Linked DNA regions of Drosophila melanogaster. The protein of the gene in region 2 interacts with the protein of the main gene of each other region in a pairwise test. Each region holds a gene or a part of one and is shown on either strand. Other genes may lie near its edges.

Evidence for each region.
Region 1: the proteins of CG43658 (region 2) and Pdk1 interact in a two-hybrid assay, tested with the Drosophila melanogaster proteins (one large-scale study listed by BioGRID).

The regions. Positions count from the first base shown.
Region 1 is NT_037436.4:124,933-132,665, reverse strand, and holds the start of Pdk1 (Phosphoinositide-dependent kinase 1), read right to left. Parts: upstream 3,217-7,733; 5' UTR 2,844-3,216; coding exon 2,778-2,843; intron 1,937-2,777; exon of another isoform or gene 1,095-1,936; intron 855-1,094; exon of another isoform or gene 136-854; intron 1-135.
Region 2 is NC_004354.4:17,555,394-17,564,789, reverse strand, and holds the start of CG43658 (uncharacterized protein), read left to right. Parts: upstream 1-3,609; 5' UTR 3,610-3,961; intron 3,962-9,396.

The DNA.
Region 1 (7,733 bases), on a different chromosome or scaffold from region 2:
GTCCTCAAGCTTAGTGTAAAAAATTGCAGTTCCAAATAGTAAAAATGTGCTTATGAATGAAAAACGCACGAAGAGAGAGCGGGAGTGCGCTAAACAAGAATGCAAATGAAACGACTCTCGCACGCACACACTTACGTTTAGGTGCTGGGGCAGACGGGCGCTCTTTGTTTGTCTATGTTGTAATTTCGATTTGGGGTACAAATTCCAATGGGCACACGAATGAAGAAGAAGAGCCAGCCACCGCGTACACGCACACACTGTACAGAGCGAGCGCGCGTATTTTTTCGACTCTGCGCGTGCCTGTGTATATGTATGTGTGCGGCTTTAATTTTATTTAATTCTTAGCTTTGATTCTTAACATTCGTATTGTGCTTCCCTTGATTTGCACAATTATGAAACCGCCGCAGTATGTTTCTCGAAACAAATCACAAAAGTTCGCCAGAAACAACAATAATCAAGACAATAATTCCGACGCAGTAGGAAAATTTATAAGAAACGAGACGCTGTATGTGTCTGTTATTTTTTATGCCCTCTTATTTTTCTAGGAACTGGCTCACACTCATACGTTGTACTACATTAATTTGACTAATGAAAACAATCGGTTAAATACTTTGAACACAACACGGAGGGAGAATACACTTATTTTTATTCCGATTTAGATTTTATGTAATTTATTTGGCCTTTTGTGGAGTATTATTTAATCGCACCACTACAGCACTACATCACACGAACTTGGGGCGTCGTGTATTTGCCTGTGTATGTATATCAATGCCAGCGCGCTATGGGTGTGTGTGTGTGCGTAGTCGAACGCCGCGTGCACGAAGCGACTGGTTTGAAATCCAATAAGAAACTATGGTCGGGCGAGACTTTGACTTCCAAGCATTTGGCTCGAGCAGCGAAACCGATGGGAGACGAGCGCCACCCGAGAGAACTCTCTTTGGCGTTGCCGCCCCCGCCAAGCTAACCCTCGGCGCTCTCAGTTAAATGGGGCCAAAGCAGCGCAGTCGTGTCGCCGCTGGCGTCACAATTTTTTTTACAAGGCGAACAAGTTGCGCGCCACTTTTGAGAGCGTAATTGTTGCACTGTAATTGTTTGCCAGTGACTTTTTATAAATAAACACGACGGGGCAAAGCGAAAACAAGTTTCAGTCGAAATCCACACAACTACATAAGGCCAAAGAGAGCGCACGCTCTTTTTGAAGAGAGAGAGTGAGAGAGAGAGAGAGAGAGAGAGAGAGAGGGGAGACGACCGCATTCCTAACTGTAAACAAGCAAGAAGCGGAGACACTATAAAAGTGGGAAAGAGACAAGGCGACAGGCTAAGAATGCGGCGCTGCTGGAAAAACTCGTTTTTCCCGCTGGAAAAGGAAAATATGGATAAAAAAGAATTCGAGGAATTTTCGTGCGAAAGAGAAAGAGAAGTGGTGTAAAAATAAACAAGAATCCGAACCCGATTACGAATACATACACAGGGCAACGAAGGAAGAGAATTGGAATAGCTGAAAAACAGAGCGGACAAAACAAAATGCTTGAAAAGCGAAGGGGCAGCTCAAAGCGGACAAGCTGATACGTAGTAAAACATACCAACGACGGCAACTTCAAATGTAAATAAGTATATAAACGAGGTATGTAAGCGGATGAGTGTGTGCAACAACAACAGTAAACCTAATGACAACAAACCGAGCAACAGACATGCAAGTGAAAGGCCTTTGCGTTGTTTCCCATCCACTACTCAAGTTATTTGCAAAATAAAAACAGCTAAAAGAAGACAAAGTGATGAACTCGGATCGGGAGAGAGAGGGGCATAATTTTACTTTTGGCTGCTTGCAAGAGAAAATAAAATAAATAATTCATTTATTGGTTGCTGCTAATAGATAGCAATTAAAAGTAAAAGAAACCACAATAAATTGTTGTTTAGAAACCAGCTGGAATCATTGTGTTTTTTTGCTGTGAATTTTTGTTGTTGTTTTTAAAGTATCAAGCAATTTGCGAGGCAATGAACTGCAGTTGTTAAATAAATTTAGTCAACCCCTGCGGCTTCATTAAACTTTTTTATGCATTTTATTTTCGTTGTCGGGTGCCTGCAAAATAATTATACACATCCACTGCCTATTTATGTCGAGTAATATAAGCATCTGAAAATGTATTCATAATCAACTCCATCTAGATAGCTTTTAAAGTGGTTGTTATACAGACAGTCGTTGAATTATCTTATTTTATTGCCCACTTAGTGAGGAGTTTATGGCTTTGATCTTTATATATTATACCAGCATGTGTTGTCAATGGAAATTTTTTAGATGAAATGTACGGAAATATTTAAATTTATTGGTAACAAGAATTGCAAAAAGTAAAAATACTTTTTTTTTTTGCTATATAGCTCAAACATTAAATTTCACAGCTTTATGAGTATTTCATTATTTCATGTCAATAAATTATTTTGCAGCTTTTGTATTTTGTAAACAAAAATTTGTACAACCAATTCAATTTTTTTTTCCAAGAACAATTTTGTGTAATTTAACGATAAAATTGATGGGAGGTATTTTCTCGAAAGCATTACTTGTAGTTTGTAAAAAAAGTTTTACTAAATTATTTTAATTAAAAACAACTTTAACAAATTGTACTTTCGCATTACCCCATATCTATGCTATAAACTTATTTTTTAACACCTTAACAAGTCTCATAAGCCTCATAAGATATATTCACTTAATCAAAATTTAAATAAATATAAGTATATATGTATCAGGGCCAAACACCGCACCTTTTTAAGACACTATTTACCTTGATAGACTTTATTTTGCGCACAACGTAGTTGTTAATTTTGTTGGACCAGCTTTTACATTTCATGATATTTTTCGCGTTCTCCGCCGTTCTCGGGGAGGATGAAGAGGCAAAGACAACGGTAAACGGATTGCTTTCGTCACTTGAAGTTGCTGCCCTCACTCATTTCAGTTTCATTTCGTTTTACCGGTTTTTGTAATATTTTTTTATTTGCTTCACTTTGCGATATTTATTCACTTGAGTTTTCACCGCCCGGCGACAGTTGCAAAACCTTTGTGATTGCAAATGGTAATTATACGTATACACGAAGACTCGGGTCTTACTCGCATTTCTTTTTGGCGCGATAAAAGGAAAATTGGACGTTGTGGTTTTTCCAACAGGGCGTCAAATTTGTATCCGTGATTACGACCGAACCCGTCAAATTTCCGATTCGAAATGAGTCGAAAAGGCGAAAGAAAAGGCAAGGAGAGCGCGCTAAACTGGGAACGGCGGCATTGGGCCACAGTTACCAAATCGTGAGCGCGGAGAACTGGAAGAGAGATAGAGAGTTATGGGGTAAAAAAGAGTGCGGAGAAGTGTAAGAATTTTCATTTGAGTTTTAATCGACACATGAATAATGGGAAAATTATGTTATTTTTTATTAAGTTAGCTTTAAATTTATATTTTTGTATTCTTTTTTAAATAATTAGTTTTTAACGGGTTTTGTTTGTTTTTCTTTGATTTTGCGTATATATTGCATCTGTTGAAACACGTTATTGTCACCCTAATGTTGGATAGCTATTAAATTTGGGTATTTCTGGAACTTTCTTGAATTATTTGCAGGTCTTTCGAAAAAACAGTTATGCATATCCTATTCATTTCACCGATTTGCAAGTCACGGTTCCGTTATTGCCGCGAGTGGGCAAGCTATTTGCGTTTTCTTTTACATTTCGAATGCGCCGCCCATTAATTATTTATTTATTAATGAGTAAGTGACGCACTTGTTTTCATCCACTTATTTGTTGTTACTGCAACGAATCTTGCTTACATTTACATACATACATACATAGGTACATAATTCCATCAAGATCATGCATCAGTGCCACGCCCCCATCTATAAAATGAAATTGTGGACAACGTCGCTGTCGTAAACTTCCAAGGCAATTATGTATGTATGTATGTGTACAAATGTGCATTTTCTGGAATTTAAACTATTCCCGCTCTCTTCGCGCACGGATCGTTCGTTGATCCGCACTCTGGGTTCCACATTAGCATAAGTGTAAGGCCTTCTACACAAACGCGTTCCACAATTCATTCACATCGCCTGTTCCACAACTTTCCGGCGTTCCGTCACGTTCGCGCGCCTTTTCCACCCAGCGTGAAAAAATTCACTTGCTGCTCCCGCTCCCGCTCACGGTTTTATTCTCGTTTTTACGTTTTACTACGAAGCGAAAACAAAACAAAATTAAGGGGAAGCGGAAACTGCAGTTGCTTTGGCTTTGCTGACGTGGATGCCGACGCTTTCGTCATCAAGTTTTTCTCTCACTTTGTTTTTTTTTCTCTTTAAGAAATATTGTAAATATTAGTTCTGTTCCTGTTATGGTTTTTTATCTTGTTAAGAAATATTGTAAATATTAGTTCTATTCCTGTTATTTTCTATATTTGGTTGAGTTTCCATTTATGTATTATTTAAATTTCCTAGCTTAATTTGTTTAAAGACTTACTTGTGAATTGCTGCGTAGTTTAAATAACACAGTTTAATAAACACATTTAATATTCAAAGACCTTATCAATTAGCAATATAAGTAATATTTCTTTAGTTTTTGTGTACTTGTGATAAGCACTCATTCAAACTGAACGGCGTTTAGGCTCAAATAAATCTATGAAAATTACAATTCGTCTTCATCGAATGAACTTTGACTGCATATTTTAGAAATGGTCGCGAATTTTCTTCTTACCTATTTTATTTTATATAATAATCAAATTCAATTTAATTTGTCTCACCCTTAGCGAGTTCGGTGGCTTAGTTAAAATCGTTTTTATTTGGCCTCTGCTTTTAGCATTTTGTGGCTAATTTATTTCTTGCTTTCTGCTAAAAAATATTTGAAATTAGCATTTTTAATGGGCAGCAATCGAGGTTCGGCGAGACACAATGTCGCCTGAAAAATATTTTTAAAATCCCATTTGCATATATTTTCAGCCAAGCGCTTAGTATAAAAAGCTAATTTCACGAAATCCCAGCTGATTTAGTCATCAACGGTGGGCTGTGCACCAGTTTCTTTCTAATTGCTGGACTTCCCCCCGCTTGGAAGCTAAGCTTGGCAGACGAACCGGTTCGGAACCCTCGGAGCTCTCATTTAGTTGCCCATTATTAAACCCGTCGGTATCCCAGAGTTACACATCAATGGACCCGCCGATTCGTCCTCAATTTGTTTAATTTATTAGCAAATAGTGGTGTGGGGTACGGTTTTGTGATAGCGTGTTAGGGCAGCGCAATATGTCGTTTTAATCATCAAAATGGGCTGGGGAAATTTTTTTTCTGTTGCCTTATGAAATAAATTTAAAAAATGCTTGGGACCAGCCAAGACCATTTTCTTCACTTAGCTTTTCATTTCCACACCAAGCCACCATTTGACATGTGAAAATTTATGAAATTAAAAAGGGGAAGTGAAGATCCTAAATGTAAGTGCAATCCAAACTGAACATGAACATCTCAACATGAAAGGCTTTAATATTTAAATATTTGCCAAATATAAAGCAACAGAACCGCTATTATTTTGCTTTTTGAGTTTCCATTCGCTCATTTTCCCACGGGACGATAAAATAATAAAGTTCTGTTCGTTTCCCCTTTGAATTTTGATCCAATTCGATTATAAATGAATGCGCATGTCGAACAGAAACAATTAAATTAAAAGCCATAATTTAATTAACACCCGTCCAGTCGAGTGCCCGACACAACAACCAAAGCAAAAATGAATAGGAGTGACAGAAAACAAATCAATGAGAGTTTCACACATACCACTCACTTTTCCCATTTTTCGCCCGGTGTACATTGCGCAAACGCCGCGTGTGGCGCCAGGCGGCGTGAAAATAAAATTGGCGCCAAACGAATTCGCAATGGTCAATTAAAAAGGAGCAGAAGCAATGCGACCACCAACTTACCTCAAACGGTTTATTTAAAACTCTAAACGGTCGTTTTCTATAAATTATTTTGCTTTCGTGGAAGAGGAGGAAGGGGCACAGGCGGTCAGGAGGACAAACAGGTGACTGCAGCTAAAACAATGAATAATTTTCGGATGGCGCCTCAACGGCGATACTCGACTTTTCCGTTCCCACGTTCTCGATTCACGTGCAACACGACAAGTGCGCCTTACAGTAGTTCAGGCACTCTTCTTTCAGCCCGGCTCGAGTGGCTATTTAATGGGGCGTGTGTCAGGGCCACCAGATGCCAGGTGAAAATAAGCCAATTCTCCGAGAACGAATCAATGCACCTGGCTTTCGTCATAAAAGCTTCGCACAATAATGACATTTGCATATGCATTAGTTTGGCGTTATTGACAGTTTAATTGGAAATTAGAATTCTTATCGGTGTAGCTTAGCATTATTATTTTAAAGTACTCTCCTCTTTTCAAAATGCCCCTTGCATAGTCCTACGCTCGGAATTTAGTAATGAATTAAGTTTTTTAATTTTTTGCCCCCTTTAAGGGCATTTCCAGTTCGTAGTTTTCCCTTCGTAAATTTCTGTGTTTTTTTGTTTCGTCGGCAAAAGCGCAATTGATGATTGCATGAATATGTTTTCCAATTGCGTCGCAGCAAAGAGAGAAAGGAGTGCAGTGGGTGCCCCTAGGTACTTAAGAGGCAGACTTTTGTATGGCGTCTTCTTATTCATTTGTGCGTGCTATGAAAAAAGGCGTCCCAGAACCTGGCCCTAATATAATTTTGTAATATATTATTATTGAAAATTTATTGAATTTAAGCGAAAGCAAAAATGTTGTTTATATTATTTTCAAAGGCCTTTATAACATTTTGCATTTTCCCATTTTTGGGGAACATTTTGCTACACCTGTGCTTTTTTGGTGCACGGTATTGCGTGGTGCGACGCTATTGTTCAAGTTCAGCGCTAGGAAGAGCAATAGCATAAGCGCAAAACAGCGGCCCCAATGCAGACAACATACGACCTTTCTTTGTGGGCGCGAGTGGGCGATGCCATGTGCTTTGTTGTTCTGTCGCTCACCTCTGTCCTTTCCGCCTATGAATACTAGATACCCACTTACCTTTCGCATAGCCAGAGTCGCTTGTAGCAAGTGCGACCCGTACCAATCAGGTGACAACGTATCACGGCTTGGAAATTGACATACACAGAACTTTGCTTTTATATTGGGTTTGGTTTTTTGATTCGTATTTGGATTTGGTTTTGGTTTAGCTTTTAAGCTTTTTGCGGCTGTTTCATGTTCAAGTGCAGCGGCCGCTGACCGAAGACGACTGAGTTGCACTTGCCCTGCGGTCACCGCTTAAATAACGGAGCTGAATAGCTGAAACCAAAACCAAAACAAATCCGGAAGAAAGGAAACGGGAGATGGAACTAAATGAAGACGTGTGCACTGGGTATCGGGACCTGGTGAAGCCACATACATACATACGTGGGAGGCTGACTAATGGATTCTGTTCCCGGCGGTCGAGAAGGTTCCTTATGCATACAGTCGTCGACCCAGGAGGTTGTTATTCATACATACATATATACATACACATAACGGTGGGGGTGGACTGTCATCGCTGACTGGATATAGAAAATAAAAATAAATAATATGTAATAAATGATTCCCCTGGAGAAGCAGAGTTTAAAACCTCTCAATATAGAGCGATTGTAATTGTAAGCATACATACAATAAAGAGTGGAAATTAAAAATACATTTGTTTTAACTCAGCCTTTCTGCAATCAAAAGGTTATGCCGGGTTATGGGTTCAACAACAATTTGA
Region 2 (9,396 bases):
ACAAACAAACAAACACTCACAAACTCTCTTCCGCATTCCGTTTGTGAGCTCTTGTGCACTTGATTTTCGATTTGCATTTCTAAAATGGCCCATAAAAGTGCTAAAACTAATGAAATGGCTTTGATTCAGTTGATGGCCATTGCCAGTTTGTAAAAATAAAAAACGAATTAAACAATTACGAGAAAGGTGTGGGCAGTTTTATCAACGGCGATTCACTTAAGTTTCAGCAGGAAAACCTTTTAGGCCTTGGCACTAAAAATTAAGCTGAAGATACACAGGACGTATACGTAATATAAGTAACGACTTTTGAAAATGTACCTAATCATTAAAATCATTAAAATGTATGATCGTGATCATTAAGCAGAAGTTTTCTTTACGTATGCTTGATATTTAATTAACTTTACAATTCGTAAATTTTCTTTTTTACTACGTACAATTATATTCCACAACACCACCGGGTTAATAACAACCATTATTACGCTTGGCTGCATCTGCTCAAAAATTAAATAAAAAACGGAGCTAGCAGGGGAAGTATAATAAATTCAAATAAACTCACGAGGACAATGGCAATGGTTGAAATGTGGCCCGCGGATACGCAATGTGCCACAGGCACCGGAACCGGAAGTTCTGTACAGTGTGTACCAGGACCAGCTTAAAAACAAAAAAATATATATACGAAGAAAAAGAAAATGCCAAACACCCCGCGAAACATGGCGGCAAACAAATGAGCAGACGGCGGTGGGCGTGGCGCCTTCTGACAGGCAGCTTAATTAAGATGGCCAGGATAATGCAGAAATTAAGACACAAAATGCCACGAGAAGGACGAGCAAAGTTTTGCCAGACGCGAAAGTTTTCCCAGCCAAACGAAGACATATCAGACCGGATTTTCTCCGAATTTCACGAGCCACTTCGATTGGAAAATGCCAGAATCACGAATCATTTGATAAATTTATTGAACTTTGTCCTGCAGGCGCATTGCACACAAATGTAGCCGATAACTTTATGGTTTTCCATGGGAAATACAAGAACTATTTTATTTAAAAAGAGGAAAACGGAGAGGTTATCTCAAATGATTCAAAAGTAGGTGTATCTAAAGGGTCTTGCTGTATTTTGTTTTTCAGTTTATAGCTTTAATGATCTATCTAGCTTTTTCGTTTTAGTTTTATGACTTATATAAATTTTCATGTAATTTTCAGTAGTCTTTTTTTGTAATTGATTTATTTTCAGATCGGTTTAAGCCACTTTTGCATCACTGGTTACGCCGACATCCTGGCAAGTGCTTCTGTTTCCGCTGCGTCTTTGATTGCATTCGACTTTTGGCTGCAGTTCAGGCGCCTCTATCCCCTTAAATCCCTTCGCCACCCCACTTTTCCACCCACTCGACGACAACAATATTGTCCTTTTGGCTGAAATCAAAATGCTGGAAAGTTTTAGCTGGACAACGTAAACATAAAGTAAATGCAGTGCCAAAAACAAAAGTCAAGTCCACTCCGAGTGTCCAACTGCACTTTCTGTGTGTGTGAGTATCTGTGTGTCCAAAGTATCTGTGTGTCCAGAGTACCTCTATATGTGTGTTGGCTTGTTGATGCGTGTGCATGTGATCTGCTGGCTGCGATTAGAAAATGATTTACACCTCTGGCTGCAAAAAAAGAGAATTCAGGATAAAAGATGGGCCTTACAACGTCTGCGAAACTGGTTGGAAGAAGAAGCTGATGTTCTTCTCCCTCTCCTTCATCTTCTTGTTCTTGGCCAGCTCTGCTTCTTCCCAGTATGCAATTACACATTTTATTATTATTAACGTTAATGTCGCCCATGGGAGGGCACTAACGCCCGGCTCCACATAAAAGGCGCTTATTAATAAGAAATTGCAATAAACTACAAGACACAGCAGAACGTACAGCAATCCGTTGCTACACTACAAGAATTTTGCATATGTGCTATTTCGCGCAAGAAAATGTAAACTGAAATTAATACATTTCATTTCGCAGAACCATTTTTAATTATTCTTATACGTTCTTTATTTTTATATATTAATTATTCATTTAAGTTATATATGAGTAAATTTGTAATGCTTTTAGACGTTCAAGGCCACACTTTTTTTAAGTGCATTCCGGTACGCTGGCGCTTAAAGGAGCAACAGCTGGCGTATGAGTGAGAGGCCAGACGGTGGGAGAGGGGCACCGAAACAGAAGAGAGTGTGAGAAAGGGAAAGAGAGATCCCAGCCGGCGAATGCGCGGCAAAAACAAAAGGCAACGGGAGAAGCTCGGCGAAACAGCTGGCGAAGAAAGTCGCTCTCTTTGGCTTATCTCTTTTTAACCCTCTTCTGCCTGCCATTGCTTTTCTTAACCCTTGCGTATCCTTGTTGAGAGTAAATCAAGCGCTCCACATATTTTATTAAGTTGGAAACCAGTAATAAAGTAGGAAGCTCGCTGCCAGCTGCAGCTCACACACACACCTACACGCACACACTAACCGATGCACTCTTCTCCGGCGCTGGGGTTGCTGTTGTTGCACTGCCTGCTGCACGCGCGAAAATGCTAAGTTGCCAGGAGCGGATTCAGTTGGTTGGCTGCATATATGACAACCAACGAAGATTTTCTAACTCAGTATTAGTTAGACCATCATTTCGAGAAAACAGAAAAGTATAAACTTTTTTTCCGTATCATCGCAGTTATGAACCAAGCAGACTTAATTTTTTTTGTAACAAAACTAATAGATCGGCTTAGATTGATGAACTAACAAAATTAATCAGGTAACCGTATTCCCATAAAACATTGCCTACTTTTTCGGGCATTAGGTAAACTACAATATAAACTATACCCTGCACCGTTTTGAAAGTGATCCGCACCTGTTCTGAAGCATTTTCTGCTCTCTCCCTCGCTTCCCTTCTTCGATCCCACTCTTCGTAGAGGCTCAAAACGTGCGCCTAACAAAATGCCGGTTTAAGTTTTGCGTTGTTTGGCGTATACGTAATGCAAAAGGAGAGCGAGAGTAGTGTGCCGAAAACGAGAGAGTGTGTGAGAGAGCGGAAAAGAGCGCGCGCGTCGCTAGTTGCTTTTCGTCTGATTGGAACTCCAAACTCCAATTCCAGCTCCAACTCCTACTACAAATACAACTACAGCTCCACTGCATCAGCATGTTGTTGTTGCTGCTTTAGCTGTTTTTTGTTTTTGTTTCATCTGGCAGTTCTTGTTCCTTTCCTTCTGCACTCCATTCGCACACTAGCTCAGGTCCACAGCAGCAGTCAAAGCAATAGCAGCTACAACTGCGCAGCTATTAAATGTTTTCAAAATACCAAAGTTCTTAAAAAAATATGTATACTAATTATGTTTTTTTGATAAAATAATGTTTAAGCTATTTCAAAGATTGAAACCAATTTTATGGTTTGTGATGTGCATTGTTAAATTAAATTACTTACTTACTTACACTTACTTTTTAGCAATACTAAGTTCACAATAAACGTCGCTTCCATTCAATCATTAACTTAAAACAAGCTCTAAGCCATTTGGGCATTAATTCTTTTTCCGTGCCTGTGGCGAGCAAACTGCATTTGCGGCACTGCCGGCGTCGTCGACGTGGGGACGTCGCTGCGTCCGTGGGATTCGGCCGCAGTTGGATTTTGGTGCTGCTCGCGCGAGGACGTCTCCTCTCCTTAAACTTCTGCTGGGGCTCTCTTCGAAGAGAGCGCTAATCCTGCGAAGAGCGTCGTTTTTAAGTCGCGATCAGAAACAACAGTAACCACAACCTGGTGGCCAGCAATTCTTACCAGTTTTTAGAAAGAGCCACGAAAAAAATGAAGTAGTGTGAAATATTATATTTTCATTTTGTGTGTGCGTGTGTGTGCGGTTTTCCTTTAATTTCGTTACACTTCTTTTTTTTTGCGATTTTTGTTTATGTGCCAAACTAGTTTCGAGTTCATTGAATTTGCGGCGCCGTTGTCAACCGATCGTTGCTGAAAACGTAAGTGCAGCTTTTTAAGTAGCTAAGGATGCGTTTGCCGCAGGACATTTGCGGTCACGTGGCAGCTGCCGCCACCTGCGAAAACCGCAAAACGAAAAAGCCGCCAAAACATTAGCACTTGAATGGAAAAGTATTTCGCAAATTAGTTAAATAAGGGTTATAAAAGTGGCAGAAAAAGTATTTGTAGTGCACCAAAATTGAATATTTTTTTCCTTAGAACTGGAAGCGTTGTCTGTGTTTTTTAAACAATAATTGGCATGAAATTTCAAAAAATCGAAAATCATATACTTGACCGAAAAAAAAAGAAAAATATTACGTGAATTTATTTTATGTATATTAAGTTGTAACTTTAGGGCTTAAATCGCGATATAAAGTTTTCACATATTATATTTTCTGAACATCTCTTTTTAGACACTTTCTTAAAATACAAATAAATTTCAGAGTTGTCAATTTTTGGGTGAGAGCAGGTTTCCCCTTTTTAGCAGACTCACTACATACATTTATATTAACAACAATAACTTGGCTCTTTTGTCTCACAAGCAATTGGCTCGAAATGTTGTCGCGTCGCCCTTAGCTGTATCCTTTGTTTGGTCCTTGGCCATTAGGATCCCTTTTAATTAAGATGAATAACTTGCAGTTTTTATACGCCACAGAAATCGAAATTTCATCGCCGGCATTTGGTTGTTGCTTTATAAAGAGCTTTAAAACCAAACTTTTAAAGCATGGAAATAATTTAGTTTTTGTCGAAATACGTTAATAAACCTTCAGATAAGATTTACTGTTTGTTTATTTGTTTGTACAATTTATTACTTTGTCCATTTTTTTTTTTACTTTTTGTTGTACTTTGCTAGAAGTTTCCATCTCAAAGCGTTAAGTTTTTCTAGCATTTTGGCACAGCTTAAAAGTTGGCAAGTGCCAAAAGTTCAAGCGCGCTGCTCACCTTTCAATTAGCCGGGAATTCAGAGCGAATCTAATTAGTTGGCCAACATGGTGGTGGAAAGTGACGAGTCCTCTGATTTCCTGGCTCCCTGATTGCTTCCAAAAGCTGATCGATCATCAAAAGACACAACCGCCACGCAAAAAGGTAGCAAAAAGTAAACAAACTAAAAATCAAGCTACCGAAACAAAAAATGTACGAATTCTGGACTGTCGAAATGTTTTGGCAGTTTCAGCAGGGTGCTGTTAAAAAATGAATTCAGGAATTTCAGAAGTGTGGCCAATCATCAAACTGAATGAAGAAAAAAGTGCCCCTTTGGTTGACTCTTCCTGTTACATTTCACAAAGAAACATAAACGAATAGAAAGGAAAGTTGTATATTATAATCTTAGATATATTAACCGATAAATGTCAAAAATGTGTGTGTGACACGCAGTAAAGAATGTTAAATTGAATTAGGGGAAAAAGTATTACAAAAAAAAAAACAAAGTTCTTTGAATACCAGTTCATTACATTTTTTGTACATTACTTGACGAATGTAAGGACCTTTTAAGCAACCGAAAAATGCAAACAATTTGAGCAGCCCTCCGCTGATTTCGCTTATTAACTAAAATAAATCCGTCCAAACGGAAAGGTGCAGAAGGACAGGGCCGTTGGCCAAGTGCTACTGGCCAACTAGCTGACCATTTCCCTGTTTTGCCTTTTTTTTGTGTTTTTTTTTTTTTGTTAGCCTAGCTGCTGCTGCTTTATGTTTGCCTTTTATTTTGGCCACAAGTTCTAGTTAGTACGAGGCGGACGAAGGCGAGTTCATAGAGCCAAAAGAACCGGTCTTGGAAAGTCGTCTAAATGTTTCTCTTACCTTCGGGCACTGCAAGAAAAAACTAATTACGAAATAAGAGATATATAAAACATTTGGTTTAATGTGATCAGACCATCACGGTAGATTTAACTATCTTGGTGCGCTTCGTCACAACGTGGACTGCAAGCCTAAAAGATTTCCTAATCAGTATTACCTAACTATTAAAGTCATGATAAATGAATTAATGAAAATGAGGATGTGCTTCTCGAAAACCAGACTCGGCATGAAGTTCCCATGCTTTTTTATCAGTGCACCTTTTTATCCCCGTCCAAGTCGAAGTCCGAGACTTTTCGATGTCGATGCTGAAGGCCCACTAAAATGTCTGGCTGTGTGAGTGTGCGAGTGTGTAGTGGCTCCTTCCACGGAGTATTCATTCCCAGAGGAATGTGTTAAAGTGTCTAAAGCTGTTTGCCTTCCCCCCGAACGCGCCCCCCCCCTCCCCCACCTCAACCATCCATCCAAATCGCCAAATAGAAAATTCTGAACTCGAGGAGCAGCATAAAATACAAAGCCGAACGCATCAGAATGGCAACGGCGATTTATAAGATAGTCCCACAGAGCGCAGAGGAAAAATAATATCAAATATCAGGGCTTAATTGATTTTTTTCTTCGCCTTTTTACCCCTTTTTATAATGGATCTGACTCATTTGGTAGAGCTTATAAGTTATATAAGCATCATAAAAAGTACATGAAAGCTTTTTAATGCATCAAAATGTTTTTAAAATATGAATTTGCTATATGTGCTCCAATAATCTGTTAAATAGTAAAGTTAATTGCATGTGATTGCTGTTACAAAATGTTGTAATAAAATAGAGAAGGATGTACAAGGCTAAATTGCTACCTTAATATATAATAAAACATACAAGTTCTTAAAAAAAAAACGAAATCTAAATATTGGGTACCTCAGTTTATAACAATCTAATTAACTCCTGAAGAGTGAAATTAATCGCAACTAGTCGAAAAAATGTGCAGGACCTGAAATCATTATGGGCTAAAATTTAAGCAAATTGAGTTTGAAGCTGCCTGCTTCCCAGTTGATTCTCCTTCGCTCTTGCCTTGTTTGATGATGACATAGTATTTGCCCAAGTTAATGGGAAAATGGGAAATGAGTTAGCTGTGGAAAGGACAGTGAGTGGCGAAAATGTAATGCTGTCTGGGCAAAAATAACAGTTGCTCTGCATATTATTATTTTTTTGTATACACTTATTAATTCTCAAGGCAATAAGAACGATAATAGCTACAGTGCGTCACAAAATTGTAATTGGAATTATATTTCAATTAGCTTCATAGATTCTCAAAAATGAGGACTTTACATATTTTCAGAAATTATGAATTTTACATGCAGTAAAGACTAACATTATTTGTGGGCAATATACTTATGGCTGATACCTTGCAGCTCCTAACCCTAGGCCTTAACTAGATCCTCTCCCCCGAACGTCCCTCGATATTGAACGGGTTCTAATGGAGTTTTTAAATAAGTAATCACTTGCTGTTGTTGGCGGGCAAGGAGTTTCGTCAAAGGCAAAAGGCGACTGGTTAACGGTTAAAGGCGAATGCAAACATAAGCCCAGACATTGCCACGCCCCCTTAACCCTGTAGTTAATTAGAATTCCAATACTTCTGATGTAGTTAATAAAGTCTCAAAACGCAGTTGGTCATTTTATCTTTATTTGGTTTTTATTAAGCGAGTCTACATTCCAGATCTATTCCTGATTTATAACTGATCTTAGTGTGGTCTACAGGCAGATCTCTTGTGACAGCCAAGTGCTGACACTAGCAAATTCTGCAATATGTATGTATGAAGTTCATACTCGATAACCAATGGGAGTCGAGTGCGACCCCTAAAGGCGTACATGCTGAATTCGCATATTTAGTATTAGGGTGTATCTAAAGATCTACTAGGGTGACCCTAAGGAATTAGGGTGGTCCTAAGTTTACTTATTAGTCGACTTATTATTATGATTCATATTATAATTATTATTAATATTATTATTATTATTGTTATTATTATTGTTATTATGTTCGTATATACTACAACCCTTTGACTGCGCCCGCCTCCGCGCAATTTACAGGTTAACATGGGAACAAAGAGAAAAAATCGAGCACAGGAAACTCGGACCCTAATTGATTGTTAACTCGTGTGTGGTTCGCAATATTTTTTTTTGTTGCCTCTTGCTTCCCCTGAAAAATTGAGTCGCTGAAAATGCGGGGGAGTCCCCTGCAAGACCGCCCAACCCTCGCACAAAGACCGAAACCACCACAACACCCTCCTCCCACCCCCGCAATTATGGCTTAAAAAGTGTTGCTGGCATTTCGGGCCGAACAACTGCAACTGCAAAAAATAAAGGCCATAAGTAAACCAATTAGTCGCCCGGCAGTCGTAAGCTCAGTTTGCAGTGCAACTGTCGCCATCGCTGTCACTGCCAGGGGTACTCTAACCCCCGTGACCCCTCCAGCGCCCACGCCGAGCTCAGCCCCCTACCGCCGCCCAGTTGCAGAGTTGGCCAATTGGCTAGGGACATTTTTGGGGTTTTTTTTTTTTTAATTTTAAAAAACAGAAGTTGGAACTTTTTCCATTTGTTGCTTGATTAAATTAGTTTCTTGATGTATTTATACAAATAAATATATAAACATACTAATATGTAAGCATATGCTAATCAACTAAATCTTATTCTTTTTTTTATATATTTTTTTTTATTTATTTTAAATTGTGACATATTCTTACTGTTTCGATAAATCTATGTAATGATCAACAATGCGTATGAGTGATAAAGCCCATGCTTCATAGATTCAGCAAATCGACAGTTGGCAGCACTGAAACTCGAATCTGCCGCACCAGCAGCTCTTAGTGAAAATGCGGCTTTCGTATTGTGTAGTGTTATAAGCGCATTTGACTTTTTGCACAACGCAAAGTTGGCGGAAGCCTGGTGGCAAACCCCCATAGTTCGGGGGGGCTAACAAGCCCCCCCATATAAACGAGGAACAGAACTGGCTAAGACTTTTTGTTAGTCAAATGGATTTGTATTTCATTGTTACATTTTCATCAACATAATCTGTATGAAATCAGTATGCTTAAATCCATTTATAATCTAGATTGTATAAAAATATTTAATTTACTGCTCAACAAAATATGCTGTTTTTTACTTTAAACTACTAAAATGTAGACCGTTACCTGCATTTTAAAGGAAGTTTGAGCATTTTTTAGTGTCTCACTGTTAAAAATGGGCCGTTGGCACTTCTTGCTAGACACATTGCCTGTCGGCTTTTAGTTGCAAGTATTGCTTATTACAACTGCACTGGCATCACCCAGCGCCCACCCCCTGGCGCCCACTTTTCCTCCCACGCTTTTCCAGAGCGCTCAATGAAGCTTGAAACGCGCTTCTAAGTAATGGCAATCCGCTTTGGCTTTCAATTTGCTCTTCTCCACGCTTTCACCCGCCCCCTTTCTCCGCCCCATCTCCCTTTCTCCTATTTTGCATATCTTGTACATATGCCCTTTGGCTTTTTTCATACCAACAGCCAGATAGAGAAGAAGAACTAGCTGAGAGAATGGGGCCTACGTTAGAGATGGCCAAGTGGTGACATTTGTTCACAAAGAAACTGCGGTTATACAAATATTGTATATTTGCATTTTTCATAT